Ovis aries: one gene and its partners. The main gene of each other region encodes a partner of the protein of the gene in region 2 in a complex. Links are inferred from orthologs where the notes say so. Each region holds a gene or a part of one and is shown on either strand. Other genes may lie near its edges. The genes, in order: VTI1B, STX4, BNIP1 and BET1L.

Region 1 (4,265 bases), on a different chromosome or scaffold from region 2:
ACTGAAAGGTCTGGCTGTGTCTTACTTACCTCATCTACTATTGATCTCCTACACACATCTTGTTTCAGTCACAGTTCTGAATATTTGACTTTTCTTTTCCCCTTCCTTTGTTGTCTCTTCTCACTTCCCCTCTCAGGCAAATTCCCACTCAACCCTTTACACTCAGAAGTTCTCCTTTCTGAGAAGCTTTCCTCTCACTCCCCTACGGCCATGTTAGCCTTCCTGTCACGGTCTCAAAACTATCTTAGGACTCATCACACACTTTGGAAATCTCCCATTTAAGGCAAGAACTCACAGAACTCCCCAGACCCAGGATATTGAGTGATTCATAATTCTTGATAGATGTTTATTGAAAATACTGAATTCAATTACAGAGCATAAGCTAAATGCAAGGGATGTGTTATGTATTAATGTATTATTCAGTGACTATATTATTCAGTGCCTAATAATTCATGATAGGAAAGCTTTGGAAAGCCTATGAAGTCGTCTTAGTACAAGAAAAAAAGGATTCAGAGATGACACCCCAGTATGTTTGCTTAATTAAATCCAACTTATTCAACAAATATTTATTGAGGAATATAAACAAAGCAGTGAATAAAGGGACTGAAGGCTGTTGAAATTCTTATAACCTGAGGATATGCAAATACTATATAATACTTACCCACTGAACAACTAAGTGTTACCAGCAACTTGTGTGGAGACTATTTTGTACCTGGGTAGAAATTCACACCTTTTTGATTGTCCTCAGGTAGATGACAAAAGTGAATACAACTAAGTTTTCTATTTTTGGAAACAGAATGTCCTTTGGCATTATTTAGCCTTCCCTGATAGCTCAGTTGGTAAAGAAGTCGCCTACAATGCAGGAGACCAAGTGCAATGCAGGAGACAGGGGTTTCAATCCCTGGGTTGGGAAGATCCCCTGGAGAAGGAAATGGCAACCCACTCCAATCTGGGAAACGCCATGGACAGAGGAGTCCGGTGGGCTACAGTCCATGCGGTTGGAAAGAGTCAGACACGACCTAGCAACTAAACCACAACCACACCCTTACAAAAACAAATCTTGCAAAATTTAAATCAACACCAGGTGAAAAAAATGATCTATTTTTCAACCATGTAAATCAGATCCAATCACTCTCCTGTTCTGTAGCCTTTAACTTCAAGTCACTGTATTTAGATAAAGATGCAAATCTTTCACCAGGGTTCACGTGGCCCCACACAATCTGGCCCTTTAAAACCTTATCTATTACTATTATTTCCTTTGCTCATTCCACCCTAAACACACTGGCCCTTTAGTTCTTCCTAGAGCATACCAAGCTCACTTCTGCTTAAGGACTATTGCAGTACTATTCTGGAGAAGGAAATGGCAACCCACTCCAGTCTTCTTGCCTGGAGAATCCCAGGGATGGGGAAGCCTGCTGGGCTGCCGTCTATGGGGTTGCATAGAGTTGGGCACGACTGAAGTGACTTAGCAGCAGCAGCAGTACTAGTCTGTCCTCCTGAAACTTATTTCTCCCAAATTTTTGCATGGTTCAGTCCCTTACTTCAAGTCTCTGCTCAAACGTTACCTCCTCAAAGAGGCCTTTCATAGCCATCCAATTTACAATTAGAGCTTCCCCATTCCTTGCCCTGCTTTATTTTCCTGTATGGCCCTTAACACCACTTCCAAATATTTATATCATCATCGACCCATAAGAACAGAGGTCTCTAAGTCTTTTCACAGCAATTTGCAATATTACCAGCATCTACACAGTGCCGAGTGCACAGCAGCCTCTCTTAATAACTATATGTTAAACAAAAGTATGAGTTTCATTCTCATCAGAGTCATTCAATTCATGTGACCTTAGGTAACAGAGCAAACACTCAAGCTTCCACGCTTCAGGAAAAGCAATGAAAGTCTCATCGGCCTTGCCATCAAGATCTACTTGTTTTAAGGCAAAGAACTATGATAGACCTTCCTATACAGATTCAATCAAAAAATTCTTAGCTCCCCCAAGACAAGCTTGCAGCACACTGCATTATGAAATCAAGGGGCAGGAAGGTCTAAGCAGAGGTCATAAAAGGATCGCACCTGAAGGCCACCATCCTCATTTTAAAGACCAATCCCTCCCCCAACCCCTACCCGCCCCCAAGACTGGTTATTTACACCAGCCTCCAAAGTTATGATGGCTTTGGGTTTTTAACCCTTTTTGTGCTACAGGTCCTTTGCCAATCTGGTGAAAACTATGGGCCTCTTTGGAGAACACTTTCAAGCGCGGAAAACAAAGTACTGAGAGCCACAAAGAAAACCAATTATACTCAGTTTACAGATTTAAGGGTCACAGGTATAAGGTCTCTCATGCCCATCTTGCCACAGTGAAAATGAAACGAGCGAACTCTGAAGGCAACAGGGGATTCAAGAGAGAGATGACACTCCGTGGTGGACCCCTGGGTACCTAAGTGTCAGCACGGAGATTCTGGACGCCGGGACTCAGCCAGGCCTAGGGGGCGTGCCTGAGGACGCCAAGCGAGAGACGGGAGGGTGGGTCTGGAAAGGAGGTGGGGGTTCTTCCTCCCGGTGCTAGCGGAGCGCTGTTCCCGTTGTCTCATCCCGCCCCCACCTCACCTGTCCCTGCCATCCCCAGGAGCCGCTCCGGCACCCCTCGTAGGTCTTCATGGAGGCCGCGGAAGATCTCGTGCAGTTTCTCGAAATGCTCCGAGGAGGCGGCGGAGGTGGCCATGGCGCAGGCCGCTCTCGAGCAGCGGGCGCCGAGATTCTGGGCCCAGGGCCCGCTCCTACTCCGCCGTCAGCCGCCCAGCCCCTCAGGCATCACGGCGACCGCCGCCACAGTCCCCCGACGAGGCGCTTCCGGGGCCGCGGCGGGGTCCTCCCGGGCCGGAACGCCCATCCCCTGCTTGCCGTCACTGACGGCGCGCCGGGCGTCAAAGCCTGACAGAAAGTTAGTCTGGCTCCGTTGCCCGGGAGACTTCTGAAGGGGCGGTGGCGCTTTGGCGCGAGCGGCAGTCTCGGAACCCCAGAAATACTCAGTCCGAGGCTGTAGGGAGGCCGGATGGCGGAAGGAAAACATGGGCACCCGCGGGCCGGCCGACGCGGGCGCCTCTTTCCTGGGCCCCGCCTTCCGGCAAGGATTGGGGGGGGGGGCTCTGCAGTGCATGCCGGGGGTTGTAGTTCGGCACGAAAGACGCTCCGACTCGGAAGTCACGAGTTGCCGGGGGCGGTGGTCCTGCTGTAACCGCGGCCGCCGGCGTGACCGCGATGCGCAGCGGTTAGGGTATCAGTTGGCACCTGGCCGTCGTCGTCATTATCATCGCACTGTGACTATCCTGATTTCCTCAGTTCACATTCCGGCTGTTAGCTTTCAGTTCTCAGAAGATAGTAGGACCAGGTGCCTGCCTGCCCCCGAGTTGAAAGCACTTTTATTGGGGAGCAGGTGACTGGAGTGACATGCTTTCAGGAGTGGCCCCCGGACAGCAGTGCGACCCCTCAAATATGCGCTCAGCCTCTTATTTGGGCTGAGCTCATATATCGGCTTGCTCATGCAGTCATTCACTCAGCAGGTGTTTGTCAATTTAACCATAGCCTTTATGCTGGGTTCTGGGCATGTGTTGGTGAATAAAAGATTCATCGCTTGGATAACTTATAATGTAGTGAGCAAGACAGACCTGGCTTCACCATTAAGTGTAATGTGTTAACGATTACAAAGCCTTTTCCTGCACTCTGTGGGTTCCCATGGTTAGTGGGAGAAAGTTCCTATTTCCGTTGATTACATGGTTTGCCTATGGAGTTCATTCTGAAATGTTTCCTTGGCAGCCCAATACTGAAGACTGCCCACACATTAAGATACATTTGACTGTTCGGGGGAAATGATTTGGTGATGTATATACCTCCTGGGCCCTTATTTTTATTAGACTGAGTTCATTGGCCTTTGATTCAACAAACATTTGTTGAGCTCTTTGTGTAGCCAAGTCTGCAGTTGTTAGTAGCAGTGTACTGTGATAAGTCCCAAGAAAGTGAAAAGTGTCAGTCGCTCAGTTGTATCCAGCTCTTTGTGACTCCATGGACTGCAGCCTGCCAGGCTCTTCTGTCCAGGGGATTTCCTAGGCAAGAATACTGGAGTGGGTAGCCATTCTCTTCTCCAGGGGAATATTCTTGACCCAGGGATGGAACCCAAGTCTTCTGCACTGCAGGCGGATTCTTTATCACTGAGACACCAGTATTCATTGAGCATTCAGAGATAGCAAAGTCTGGGATTGTTAGTAGTAGTGAA
Region 2 (3,995 bases):
CACCAGCCTCCCTGCTTAGACTAAAGGTGTGCCAGGATTTTGCATTTCCCAGATTTTGCAGGCCCACCTGGGCACTCAGCCTCTCACACAATGACTACCACAAGCCCCCCACCCCCTGTAAATGCCTTCCCTGCTTGTCCATTTTCCTGATGCCTAAAATCTGCTCATTCCTTGGAGTTCCTTTCTCCAGGACACATCTGCTGTCCTGGGTTCAGTTGCACCCTTTCAAGATGCCCAAATTGTGGGGGGGCAGTTCTTGAGGCACTAGCCTACTGTGTTCCCCCCTTTGTTTGGCAAAGTAATAAAACTACTCTTTCCTTCTCTTCCATTAAAAAAAAAATCCCCAAATTGTTTAATCTTCAATCTGGGGTCTTTGCTGATTTCTGGGCCCACCTACTCCAACTCTGACCTCCAAGAACTCCAAACCATGCCTCTCTGGGCACCCAGAGGACACTGCTCAGACCATTTCAAATCTCCTTATTAAGATGATGATTCAGTGACCTTCCCCATACACACACACCAGGGAAGTTCCTCTTCCTGACTTGAATTCTGTCCTTGGGGCAGAGGATGTCCTCATCACATGGGTAGGAAACCACCCAGTCACTTGACTGCACCCTTTTTTTCCCTGGGCAGAGCCATTAACTACCAAGTCCTACCTGAGTAATGTCTTTGTCATCTATGCAAGCTTAACTCCCCATCTTGGCTTCTAGAAAGTATATCTCCTACAACCAAGCCCAGATCATGTCTGGGGTCTCAGCAACTTCTCACTGAATGGAGGAGAAGAAGGCAAGGTGTTATAACAGATTGGAAGTCAGGAAACCCGGGTTCTTGACCTTGGGGTAAATCCTTTTTTATCTCTGAGCCTCAGTTTCCTCATTTGGAAAATCATCAGGTTGGATTTAATGATCTCTAAGAGCCCTGCCTTCTTACATCTGCCATCTAATGATCTATTGAACACTTGCTGAAATGTCCTACTTCTGGGAATAATGAACCCACCTGGGTTTTTCTCATTCTTGTGTTGACGGAGTTATAATTCTCATCAGCTTCCTCCTTCTGGGGCTCTATGGCTGTGGAAAGACACAGAAGTATTGGTAGAGGAGGGGGTTTGACCTCTGGCTTCTGAAATTCATTTGGGGACTGGGACCCAGCCATGCAGCCATACAATAGAGAGAGATACAATATCTCCACAGAGCTTTTTTTTTGAAATAAAATTCATCATAAATGACTACTCTTGAGCCTCTGACAGGCAAAAGTATATTTTTCTTTGCAATAAATACATCAGAGAATTCCCACATGTTTGGAGAAGCTTCCTAACAAAACCCACATCTTCCCACCCAAAGAATACACACTGGGCAGCAAGAATTGTAGGAGTACAGATGATCCTTGCACAACTGTGGGTCCACTTATACCTGAATTTTTAGAAAATAAATGCATACTACAGTACTACACAATCCATGACTGCATGAATCCACCCTTGCAGAACCTGGGATGTGGACGGCAGACTATACAGTTATATGCAGATAACGACCTGAAGGTGGAGGTAGCAACGCTAACCTCTGCCTTGGACAAAGATCAAATGGACATGGTTTCATTATAAATAAGGGAACTTGAGAGGCAGGCATATGCTGTGGAAAGAACTTTGGACCGAAAGCCAGGAGATGGAGATTCTAGACGTTGGCCTGCTGTGTGACCTGGATATATATCACTGGCCTCTCTGGACCACACACTGCCCAGAAATACCAGGAGTTGGGCAGGATCAGAGGAAAGTATCTGGCTAAAGTCCTAGGAGCTCACCCTTCAGCTGCGCGCGGATGTCCCTCCCTAGCTGTTTGATCTCGTCACGCAGGTTCTGCAGGTCCTGCTTCATGCCTAAACAAGAGAAAGCCATGATGCCCAAATAGCAACCTCTACCTCAACAAATCTCCCTGGCCACCACCTGTGTGGAACTACAACCCCCACAAGCCTCCAGCTGAGCATGCGTTCTGCACCCGGGGTTTCACTCACTCTCCTCGGGAAGGGGCGTGGCCAGGATGGTGACCTGCTGCTTCTCCAACTCTCGGACTTTATTCTCTAGCTTGACGATAGTCTGCCGAATTGTCCGAACCTGGGGACGATGACCGAGAGGGCTGAGGGAGATGTGGGCGCTGCTCCAGGCTGCTCTGCTCCTCGGGCCCTCCAGGCCCCTCGTGAATCCAGGCCGAGACTCCAGCCTCTTACCTTCTGGAAGAACTCATCGTCCGGGCTCCCCAGCCGTGCAGTACCCGGGTGTACCACCAGCGCGACTCGCTCCTTGTCTTCATCGTCCGAGCTGTCATCCCCCTGCCAGGGCCGGGGTCACTGGCATCACTTCCTTGCTACTGCTCTCCCCCAGTAGAACTCACGGGCTTCCGGGACTTTCCTTCCTAGCCCACAGTCATCCCTCCCGGCCCCGAGGACCAGGAGTCCTGCATTCCAGTAGACCCCATCCCGTCCACCCGTCCCCAACCCTGCTGCGCCAAATTCTCACCTGCCTCAGCTCGTGGGTCCTGTCCCGCATGGCGGCCCGAGATCCCTCTCGCCGGCGCCGGAGCCCGGCGGGCCTCAAGATTCTAAGTTTGGAACTCCCGTACCCAACTCACACTCTGACACTCCCCTCCGCCCTCACCCTGCAGGCCCCAAACCCTCCCCCAAGAGTCGCTAGAGGCTCTGTCCCTGGCACCATTCACAGTTTCAAAGGGAAGGAGCCGACCTCGGGGACCCCCAAGATTCCACAGGTTGGAATTCCCTTTTCTTTCCCCCCGCCCTCTCCTGTAGCCTCAGCCCCGCCCCCTCTGGAAAGACTGGAGCATGCGCACCGGATCGCGTCCCTTCCCCACCCCAGGGAAAGGCCGAGGTCGGAAGCTTCAGCGCCCCGAACGGAAGCGAAATTGCCAGGACGTGAGAACCCGCCCCCTTTGCCGGAACTATCGCATCTTCCAGCGGAAATCTAGTTGCCAAAAGGGGTGGGAATGCGTCATTGGTACGTGATCTGTGAGGCCCTCTCAATTCGCATCACCCCATAGTGCAAACCCCCCCGCGCGCGTCATGTGACCGGCCTGGTCCCAACCTCTCAGACCACGGAACGTGACGCTTCGACTGTCACATGTCTCTGCCCTGTCAACTCCATCTCTGGAACACCCATCTCCCCACGACGTCCTCGGCACCCCGCGCGCGAGTTACCTCTCTTCAGAACCCCCGCGAGGCGGGGAGGGGGCGCTGACTACCCCCAGAGACAGTGGGTGGTAGGACCCAGGCTGAATCCGGCTTCCTTTCTTTTGGGTCCGCGAGTGTGGGCAGACTGAGGACTTAGAATTTGGAGCTGTCAACATCATGAGACCTTGAAATTCAGAAAAGAATAAAATACAGCGTCAGAGACTTGCGAGATTTTGTAGGCAGAGCATCTGGGGGTGGGAAGTGACCTCACCCGAGGCGGAACTCTCTTCTCCCGCATACTCCTGGCACAGTTTCTGACAGGTGGGCGGCTGGCTGGCGCCCGGCTTGAACACTGCAGTCCCGCTGCACTCACCACCTTTGAGCAGGGCATTTCAGGGCAGCTCGGGCTTAGAAAAAAGTCTGTTACATTGAGCAGCATGTCACTTAGACAACCCCCTCCCCAGACCCCCACCTTGCACTGGGGGTCTACCCTCTGGAACCCACAAAAATATTACATATTATCGTGGCCTGTGAGTTACTAAAGTGAGGGCATGATTGTGGACAGAGGAGCCTGGAGGGTTACAGTCCATGGGGTCACAAAAGAGTCGGACACGACTAAGTGACTAACACACACAAATTGTAGCCCACCAGGCTCCTCTGCCCATACAATTTTCCAGGCAAGAATACCAGAGCGGGTTGCCATTTCCTCCTCCAGGGGATCTTCCCAACCCAAGGATCGAACCAGCATCTCTTGTGTCTTCTTCACTGGCAGACAGATTCTTTACCACTGAACCAACTAGGAACCCCAGCACATGTTAGGCCCT
Region 3 (4,061 bases), on a different chromosome or scaffold from region 2:
GTCAATGCTAGGATTGCCGGCAGTGAGCCTCTGAGGAGACTGAGGCACAGAGAGATGAAGTGGGTGGTCAAGCAGGATTCAAGCCAGGGCAGATGCCCAAGATGCGTTGCCCAGCCAGTCTATTAGATGCAGTGGTGTGATGAACGCTTCAAGGGAGGGTGTTCTCTCCAGGACTAGACTTCCAAAAAGAGCTTGAAGAATCCAGGAAGGAGACAGGGCTGGTGGGGTGATTGATGCCCTTGAGATCCAGCTAAGAAACTTGGACTAGTTAATAATAATAATACAATGAAAGAGTCTCCATCTGTTGAGGGTGTGCTCTTAAGTATTTCCATTAAGTAATTTAAGGCTTCCCTGGTGGCTCTAAAGACGGTAAAGAATCTGCAATGTGGGAGACCCAGGTTCAATCCCTGGGTCGGGAAGATCTGCCTGGAAAAGGAAATGGCTACCACTCCAGTATTCTTGCCTGGAAAATCCCATGGGCAGAGGAGGGTTACATCCCTGCCAGGTTACAGTCAGTCCATGGAGTCACAGGACTAAGTGACTCACTTTTGTTTCCATTAAAAACTACATTAATCCGTCAAAACTACTCCAGCAAAGTATATTTATTAAAACCAATTGCACACAAAAGGGAAACGCCAGGAGTCAGAGAAGGGGTGTAAGTTGGAATGTGACTTGATCAGTTGGGCATTTTAGAAAGATCCCTCCAACCGTGGGCTGAACTGACAGGAGTTGTTAACCCTAGCAAACTACCTTGAATTTCATACATTAAAAAAAATAATGATAACATTTGTCATTTTCTTCTTTCACCCTACAACTTATTTTCACTGTAGAAAATATGAAAAATACAAGAAAGTGTAAAGGAGTATAAAAAATTGTTTAACTCCACCTTCCAGAGACATCCCAATGGATATTTTTTTCCAATCTTTTTCCCCTCTCTGTGCAAAAAATATGCAGTCATTAGAATGGCTGATGGGCAGAATATGGGGAGACGCCCCTGTTAAAGCGTCCTGACAATTCCCTCCTTTCTTTCTCTACGTCTTCTAGGTCCACCACAAGAGGCCGACTGATTTTTCCCACGTGTCAGGCAAAGGCCATAGGACTTGGCGCCACCACCCTCGCTCGCCTCAGGCCTGGTCTCTAGGGGGCGCTGCCGTAAGACCCGGAGGCTAAAAAGGAAACCGGTGCGAAAACGCGTTGGAACTTGGGCTCCGCGGCTTCCCGTAGCCGGCATTTCCAACATGGCTGCTGCCCAAGATGTCCACGTCCGTATCTGTAACCAAGAGATTGTCAAATTCGATCTGGAGGTGAAGGCGCTTATCCAGGTACTAATGCCCGGGGTCCCCGCCAGGGTCCAGAAGCCCTAAATCCCAGCTCAGCTGGCCTTCTGTGAGCTCAGCGGCCTTACTCCCGAGCTTTCCGCCCTTGGTCATGTCTCCGAGGCCACTGGCCCAGCTCCCTGCCCGCTACCCCTCAACTGTCTCGCCCCATGGCCCCTCCCCTGGATCGTTGGCTTTGGTATTCCGTCCGACTGCCGTTAGCTCGCCCTCTTCCAGGACACCCCGTCCTCTACCTCCACTCCTAACTGGGCTTCCCCTATGTGGCCGCTCCCCTACACACCCCTGGCCGTCACCTCGCCACCCCCCAGCCAGCCTCAAAACATACCTGTCATCCTGCCTGGCCCCGCCTTCTGATCCCGTCCTCCTCATGCTTCAGTAGCGTCCTGTGGGCCATCAGCCTCGCCCCCTGCTGGTCTGATGCCCCGTGGCACCAAAGGCCACCTGGCACAGGAGGTACTGGGTGAAATGAACGTGACCTAGACCGTAGTTGTGATTTTGTAAATGAGGAAGGAGTCTGCCTGAGCAGAAAGTAGATAATGGCAAAACTGGGACGCGGACAATGAAAGTCATCCTAGAAAAAATTCTTGGCGTCTACTTCGTTTAACTGATGGGGCGATTGAGATCCTTTGCCTAAGCCAATTAAGGGTAGAAGGTAATAGTTCAGTAAACCAGTTGGCATAGGCAAGAGTTGGGAATGTAGAAATAGTTCCTTTAGTTTATCAAAAAGAAACCAAGAGTTTTAAACCTTTCTTTTGGGCAAATGGTTTCCATTTCCAGCAGTGTTACTCAACCTTAGATGCTAAGTAAGAGTCTTCATCTAGCTGTGGTAAAAGGTGAAGGAAAGTAAGCTCCCTACGGAAATCAGGTGCAAAATAAACCAAATTAATAGCCGTTAAATGTTGCATGGAACTGTGATTTAATGAGTAATCCAGAGAACAAGAACAACTTGATACAAACATTTAAACTTTTTGAACTTCACCTTTCCCATGTATTAACTACAAAACATCTGGGCCAATTCTAGAAGAATTAATTTAGGATTCATAAAAAGGAAACTGGCTTTTCAGGTGATCTAAATTTCCTCAGCCCCATTTTGCACTCTCCAAGATTCACTTTCTCCTGAAGAGAACAATTGATTATAGCTAGATTTAGCACATCCTTACAGTGTGGCAACTCCTGCTAAGCCCTTTATGTGGGTACCTGGTTATGAAGTGGGTAATGATGGGTAAACAGACACAGAAGCTTCAGTAACTTTTTCAGGATTATACATCTGATAAATTGCTGCAACTAGAATTTGAATCCACATGGTCTGACTCTAGGGCCTACTTTTTACCTGGCCCTGGTAATTCTGAATGTCCAGAAACAAATTCGAAATCTACATTTGAACATGTCTGTAAACTGTGTGATTTATCATATTAATAGATGGTGTGTAAAATCAGTTCAAGCAGTTAAAGAGGTTCGTCTTGTCATATGCCGAGAATTTAGCATCCTCATTTTTAGGTTGGAAAGACCTGAAGTTATGGTGCCCTCTCAGGTGTTCGTTCTTGTCGGATATGCAAGCTGCTTTAAGTCTTTCATAATGGCTGGATGCTGTTCTGTTAAACATCAAGACTTATTAGTTCCTTAGTCCGTTTCTGGTTTTAAAAACGTGTTTATTAATTAATTTTTGGTTGCACTGAGTCTTCGCTGCTGCGCATGGGCTTTCGCTGACCGCACAAGCAGGGGCTACTCTTTGTTGCAGCGCATGCGCTTCTCATTGCTGCAGCTTCTCTTGTTCCGGAGCACAGGCTCTAGGCCCCGCAGGGCTTCGGTAGTTGCAGAGGCAGGCTCCGCAGCTGTGGTGTGCGGGCTTAGTTGCTCCGCAGCATCGGATTTCCTATCCACTGTACCACCAGGGAAGTCGCACTGTTGTCTTTCTGCTTATGCTTCTATGTTGCTCGCTCAGACTTGACTCCAAAGAGGGATGAAAAAAAAGTAAATTATAATGCTTCTGCTTGTGTTACAGAGGTAAACAGCAGAGATTAGGATGAATTACAGCCAGTAGGTCCAACTTAGTTGTGGTCTAAGCCAGCTCTCTCATTGTACAGCTGGTGTCATTTCCTCTCATTGCCTTGAGAAAGGCCCGTTCATCTCTTCAATGTCTCCTAGGATATTCGAGATTGTTCAGGACCATTAAGTGCACTTACCGAACTGAACACTAAAGTGAAAGAGAAGTTTCAGCAACTGCGGCACAGAATACAGGTGAGTGAGTGCGCAGCTGGGACGCTGCGCCTGGGGAAAGAAAAGAAAGTGCATTGGAGAGGTTTTGCATTGTGTTAAGTTAATGATTTGTTTAAAATCTAGATTCTTTAATGGAGCGTAAACTCAATGACAGCAGGCCTGTTCCTGGTGATCGCTGCGTATCCCTCATGATGGTACAGATTGAGCACCATCGTTGAGTGGAAGAATGGGTGTGTGGGAAGAAGGGAGGGAGGGAGGCAAGGTGGGGGAAATGGAAGTTCTGTCACAGAGAAGCAGAGAGAGTTCTAGAGGAAAAGAAAGTGAGGGCTGCTGCCCCTCACTGAGGTGGGTGGCTGTGTCCTGGGGTTTGATTATTTGGGGCTCTGAGTCTTTCTTTTCAGAAGGCCTTACCTGTGGGGCTTTCGTGCGACCTGGGTTGAATGTCTCTTCAGAGGTTTTTGCATTTGCTTTTGCCAGGTCTCCTGGGATTACCACAGGTCTGGGAGC
Region 4 (4,187 bases), on a different chromosome or scaffold from region 2:
AGGGTTAGCTTAGTGGAAACTGCCCACAAACCCTCAAAAAGTGCCCTACAGTTCCTAAGAAAAGTCACTATCCAGAAACCTCCCGCGTACACCGACAAAAGCCCCGCCTCACACCGGGCCTGACTCTGAAGCGTCAGACGGACATGTCTCCAGAGGTCTAGTCTCCGGGAAGCAGGCCTCTGGTGCTGGGCAGATCCTGAATCCCGTGAGAACATCGGCTTCTGCTCCTGGACACACGGCTGGGAAACTGCAGGCCTTGGGCCCCAAGTCCTCAGCCTGCGCTGCAGTCCCTTCCTCCACCCACACCCCCTGCCCATCCCCGAGGGCCTGGTTTCAGTCGCGGGACTGGAGGGCAGGAAGAGGCCACTCAGCAGGACCTTTGAATCTCTCCGGGTCATGGATGACCAGCAGCCCTGGCCAGAGAAACTGCAGTCTCCGGGCTGAGGACACTCAGTTGGAGGTGACAGCAGTGATTTGAGCTTCACAGCCACACCCCCTTCCTGTGTCAGCTCCAGGCAGCTCAAACATCAGACACAGCCTCATCCAGACCAAGACAGCGCAGAGAAGCCTTGAGATGCTCAGAACCTCAAGGGCCGATGAAAGGACTGCTGCTCACAGGCGGCCGTGTCCAGGATTCCCAGATGCTCTGCTTGGACCCAACACTGCTGGGGCTTCTAGAGCTCAAGGTGGCAGAGGGAGCTGGGCCTAGGCTACCCCACAGGGATAGGGCCCTTGCACACATAGAACCAGCTAACAAGAGCTCACTGGGTTAGAGGCTCCCAACCACGCAGAAAAAACATTCCTAAGCCATGATCCTCATTTCAAAGGAGTATTTTGAAAACAAGTTCTCTGGAGCCCAAAACACCAGACAGAGGAAAATCCTGGTTGCCCCAGGCACCCACAGAAGCCAGTTCCCATTGGCTCACGTCCTTGCCCTCGACAGGAGGTAGGAGAGGATGAAGAAGGCCACAATCAGGCCCACAGCCATACCACAAAGAAGCTTCCGGTTGTCTCGCCCAGATCGCGCCATTGTGGAAAACCGCTTCACACTCCCTGTGAGTAGACCCGTCATACTTGTGAAATCTGAGTCCTGAGGGAGAAATTCCAACATTGTCACAAAGGGACAGTGACTCTGCAACACACACACACAGATGGGGGCTGCAAAGCAGGTGGTGGGGAGCTGAGCTGACCGTGACGCTTGCAAACCGCAGGCCCTTACCATGCCGTCCAGGTACCGGTTCTGGTCCTCCGCATCCCTATCGATGTCCAGAGCCAGCTGGTCAGGACACAGAGGGGGCAGGGTCAGACCGGGACAAACACAGTGAACAGCACCTGACCCCCAACAAGATCAACAGAGATCAGAAGATCCAAATGCCACCTGGGCCTCGCACAGATGAGTATGCCACAGGTGGGACAAGGAGAACGGAACTACCTGAAACCCATCCAGGTCTTTACTGCCCGCTGACCACCCCCTCCAGATGCCAGGTGGAGGCAAAAGGAGAGGACCACCACTGACCGATTTGAGCCTGGTGACCTTGGAGGCCAAGCTGTCAGCCATCCGCTTGTTTTCTCGGTCTAGAATCTCCTCCACAGCACCAGGGCTCTGAGCTGTGAGGAGAGAGAGAGGCTGAAAGCATGACTCCGCTCATGAACCGTGACCCCTATAATCTCGGCCCTTTGTGGCCTCCGGCCTCCAATCCCATCTGGCCCAGTCAGGCATCTAAGGGGACCCGGCCTCTGTGTGTCTGCTGAGCAGGCCCCACCCTCACCCAGGATCCAACTTCACACATGAGGAGGACTGTATAAACAACAGTGTGAGCACAGGTCCTGTGCATGTATCCAGGCTGGGATGGGTGGGCGGGCACCTCCAAAGGGCTCAGTTCAACCAGTACTTTCAGACATTCTGTGACGGAACTTGTACCATCCCTCCGCAGGTGTCACTAGCAAGGTACACAGAACCTGTTCTCAAAATAAACCCCAATGAGCTCTGGTAAGACTTACAGGGCTTGAGACTGATCCCACACAGGGTCTTGTGTGTCACCCAGAGCCTGGTACCCGCTGAGAACTGGCCCGAGACAGGCGCTGGGCCTGGTGATTCAGAATTACCACCCTACCAGGCTGGTGAGAACTGTTTCCCACAAAGTTCAGAGTGCGCATTTGCCTCGAGCCCGATGCCTCAAGGAGACTCATCAAAAGCGGGCACAGTCTAGGAACCATGGCTTCTTACAAACCCCAAAATAAGAGGTGTAAAGGTCCTACCGACCGACTGTACCCTTAACTCCTTAAAAGTCACAACAGCCCAGCGAAACAAGCATCAGCATCCCACTTCGCAGGTGAAGAGAGACTCCCAGAAGGCAAGTGGGGTACTAGGCATGCTTGGGCCCTCCTATCACGCGCAGCTCTCACTCCGAGGGGGTCTAGCCTCAGGGACCCGTCAACCAGGAGACCCGGCCGAGGTCCCGTGCAGAGTCATCTCCCAGGGACGAAACGGGTGGGGACTGCGGGCATCCGGACCCCGCAGTTTCACGCAGCAGCTGGGCAGGAGCGCCCAAAGGGACCCAGCGACTCATCCACAGCGCGGCGGGCTGCACCCTGGCCGCCCTGCCCAAACTACGCCCGCCCGCAGTGTCTTGCCAACAACGCCACCTAGTGCCGCGGAGAAAGGCGAAGGCGGTTCCTAAGAGCAGCGGAGTCGGCCCCGGCGAGCCCCGTAGCCATCCGCCTCCGCCCTTCCGCGCTCACCCCGAGCCCAGTCCGCCATCGCGTCCAGCTCCGACCCCAGGGTCCGTCACCGCTTGATTACAGCCTCCTCGGACGTGGCGCAGTCGCCGGAAGGGGCTTCCGGCCCCACCCCTTCCGCCTCAGGCCCCCCACTTCCGGCCGAGATCTGGCCGACAGACTCGGCGGTGGGAACGGGAAGAATCTGACGTTTCTTCCGTCGTTTGACTTGGGGATGGGGCTGGCGTTTGCTCTCGGGACTCCTGGATGATTTGTGGTTTTAGAGGCAACTATGGTGCCCACAGACACTCCAGCAGCCATTCCCGCCTAAGGCGGTGTCGGGGTCCTAACTGGGAAGAGCACACGGGCCTTTCCCGGGCCAAAGAGGCTCCTCGCCGCGACCCCGCCGGGGTTGAGGCCCGGAGCGAACTCGATGGGAAGCCCGGTTCCAGTTACTGCCGGCAGGACAAACGAGATCAGTGCCTGGAACGAGCGAGCGGTGCAGAAGTCGCAGGAGTGAAGCCCTCTGAAGAAAACAAGGAACCAGGAAGAGGGGTGGGAGCGTGAGGGGAGTGGGTACGGGAGGAGCCAGCGCTTTTTGACCTTGCACGCGGTGCTGACAAGGGGCCTGACAAAGTAGATGCTTAACAAAGCCTTCTTGCCCGGTGGATGGGTTATAAGTTACCCACCCCCCGTAATGGAGCAATTGCTGTGCCATGTACTCGACAATCCACTGAAATGGAAACTTGTATCGTCTCTGCTTTTCAAAAAAGGAAACAGCCCAAGCAGACGAGCAGGTGTGCCTGCTTACACAGCAGGGAAGTCACCGCACACAGTCAGACTTTGTCTTCCTCCTGACCTTCCCCCCACCCCGACCCCGTCTCTCTTTTCTCTCAGCTCCAACAGTGATGTTTCTCTCTCCCTCCACGGCCATTCCCACCCTCGCACTGGCCACTCCTGCCTTGCAGAACCTTCCTTCGGAGCCTTTCCTGGCTCACTCCCTAGGCTCCGGTCTCAGCAAAAACTGACTGGCACTTCTTCAGATCTCCTTGCAGCCCATCAAGCCCCTTTTGTTATTCAATCACAGCACTATAGCTGCCTAACGTCGTCTTGTTTGCCCGTTTTAGTCTTCACATCCGGCACATAAGCGCCAAGAAGGCAGGAACCTGTGGGTTCTATTCACCCGCATCCCGGCTCCTCGCGTGCAGTAGGCACTCAAACATCTGTTTAGAAACCAAGTGGTCCGGAGGTTGTAAACTCCTTTCCACCTCGACTTTTCCCTGGACGTTTCATTCGTTCTGTGCATCAAGAGCGGTGTTGGTGTGCGTGTGATGGAGGGGTGCGGGGCTGAGGCCCTCTCCTGTCAGGAATCCTAGCCCAAGGAGTGAGGCTCACTGCTCGGTTCAGGGCGATTCTGGCCCATAAGTCGGACGATCACCGAGCCGGAGTTTAAGGCCAAAGCTGACTCG

What was found.
Region 1: STX4 (region 2) and VTI1B share a complex: the UniProt entries of both Homo sapiens proteins name them as parts of the SNARE complex. The link is inferred for Ovis aries from reciprocal best matches to the Homo sapiens genes STX4 and VTI1B.
Region 3: STX4 (region 2) and BNIP1 share a complex: the UniProt entries of both Homo sapiens proteins name them as parts of the SNARE complex. The link is inferred for Ovis aries from reciprocal best matches to the Homo sapiens genes STX4 and BNIP1.
Region 4: STX4 (region 2) and BET1L share a complex: the UniProt entries of both Homo sapiens proteins name them as parts of the SNARE complex. The link is inferred for Ovis aries from reciprocal best matches to the Homo sapiens genes STX4 and BET1L.

Annotation. Positions count from the first base shown.
Region 1 is NC_056060.1:77,616,134-77,620,398, forward strand, and holds the start of VTI1B (vesicle transport through interaction with t-SNAREs homolog 1B), read right to left. Parts: upstream 2,848-4,265; 5' UTR 2,718-2,847; coding exon 2,603-2,717; intron 1-2,602. UniProt on the Homo sapiens protein: V-SNARE that mediates vesicle transport pathways through interactions with t-SNAREs on the target membrane. These interactions are proposed to mediate aspects of the specificity of vesicle trafficking and to promote fusion of the lipid bilayers.
Region 2 is NC_056077.1:27,673,494-27,677,488, reverse strand, and holds the start of STX4 (syntaxin-4), read right to left. Parts: upstream 2,822-3,995; 5' UTR 2,537-2,821; coding exon 2,507-2,536; intron 2,320-2,506; coding exon 2,218-2,319; intron 2,105-2,217; coding exon 2,005-2,104; intron 1,870-2,004; coding exon 1,795-1,869; intron 1,293-1,794; exon of another isoform or gene 1,068-1,292; coding exon 997-1,067; exon of another isoform or gene 1-996. UniProt on the Homo sapiens protein: Plasma membrane t-SNARE that mediates docking of transport vesicles. Necessary for the translocation of SLC2A4 from intracellular vesicles to the plasma membrane.
Region 3 is NC_056069.1:5,005,459-5,009,519, forward strand, and holds the start of BNIP1 (vesicle transport protein SEC20), read left to right. Parts: upstream 1-1,229; 5' UTR 1,230-1,238; coding exon 1,239-1,322; intron 1,323-3,482; coding exon 3,483-3,575; intron 3,576-4,061. UniProt on the Homo sapiens protein: As part of a SNARE complex may be involved in endoplasmic reticulum membranes fusion and be required for the maintenance of endoplasmic reticulum organization. Also plays a role in apoptosis.
Region 4 is NC_056074.1:47,478,401-47,482,587, reverse strand, and holds the start of BET1L (BET1-like protein), read right to left. Parts: upstream 2,828-4,187; 5' UTR 2,762-2,827; coding exon 2,743-2,761; intron 1,609-2,742; coding exon 1,517-1,608; intron 1,277-1,516; coding exon 1,220-1,276; intron 1,091-1,219; coding exon 923-1,090; 3' UTR 1-922. UniProt on the Homo sapiens protein: Vesicle SNARE required for targeting and fusion of retrograde transport vesicles with the Golgi complex. Required for the integrity of the Golgi complex.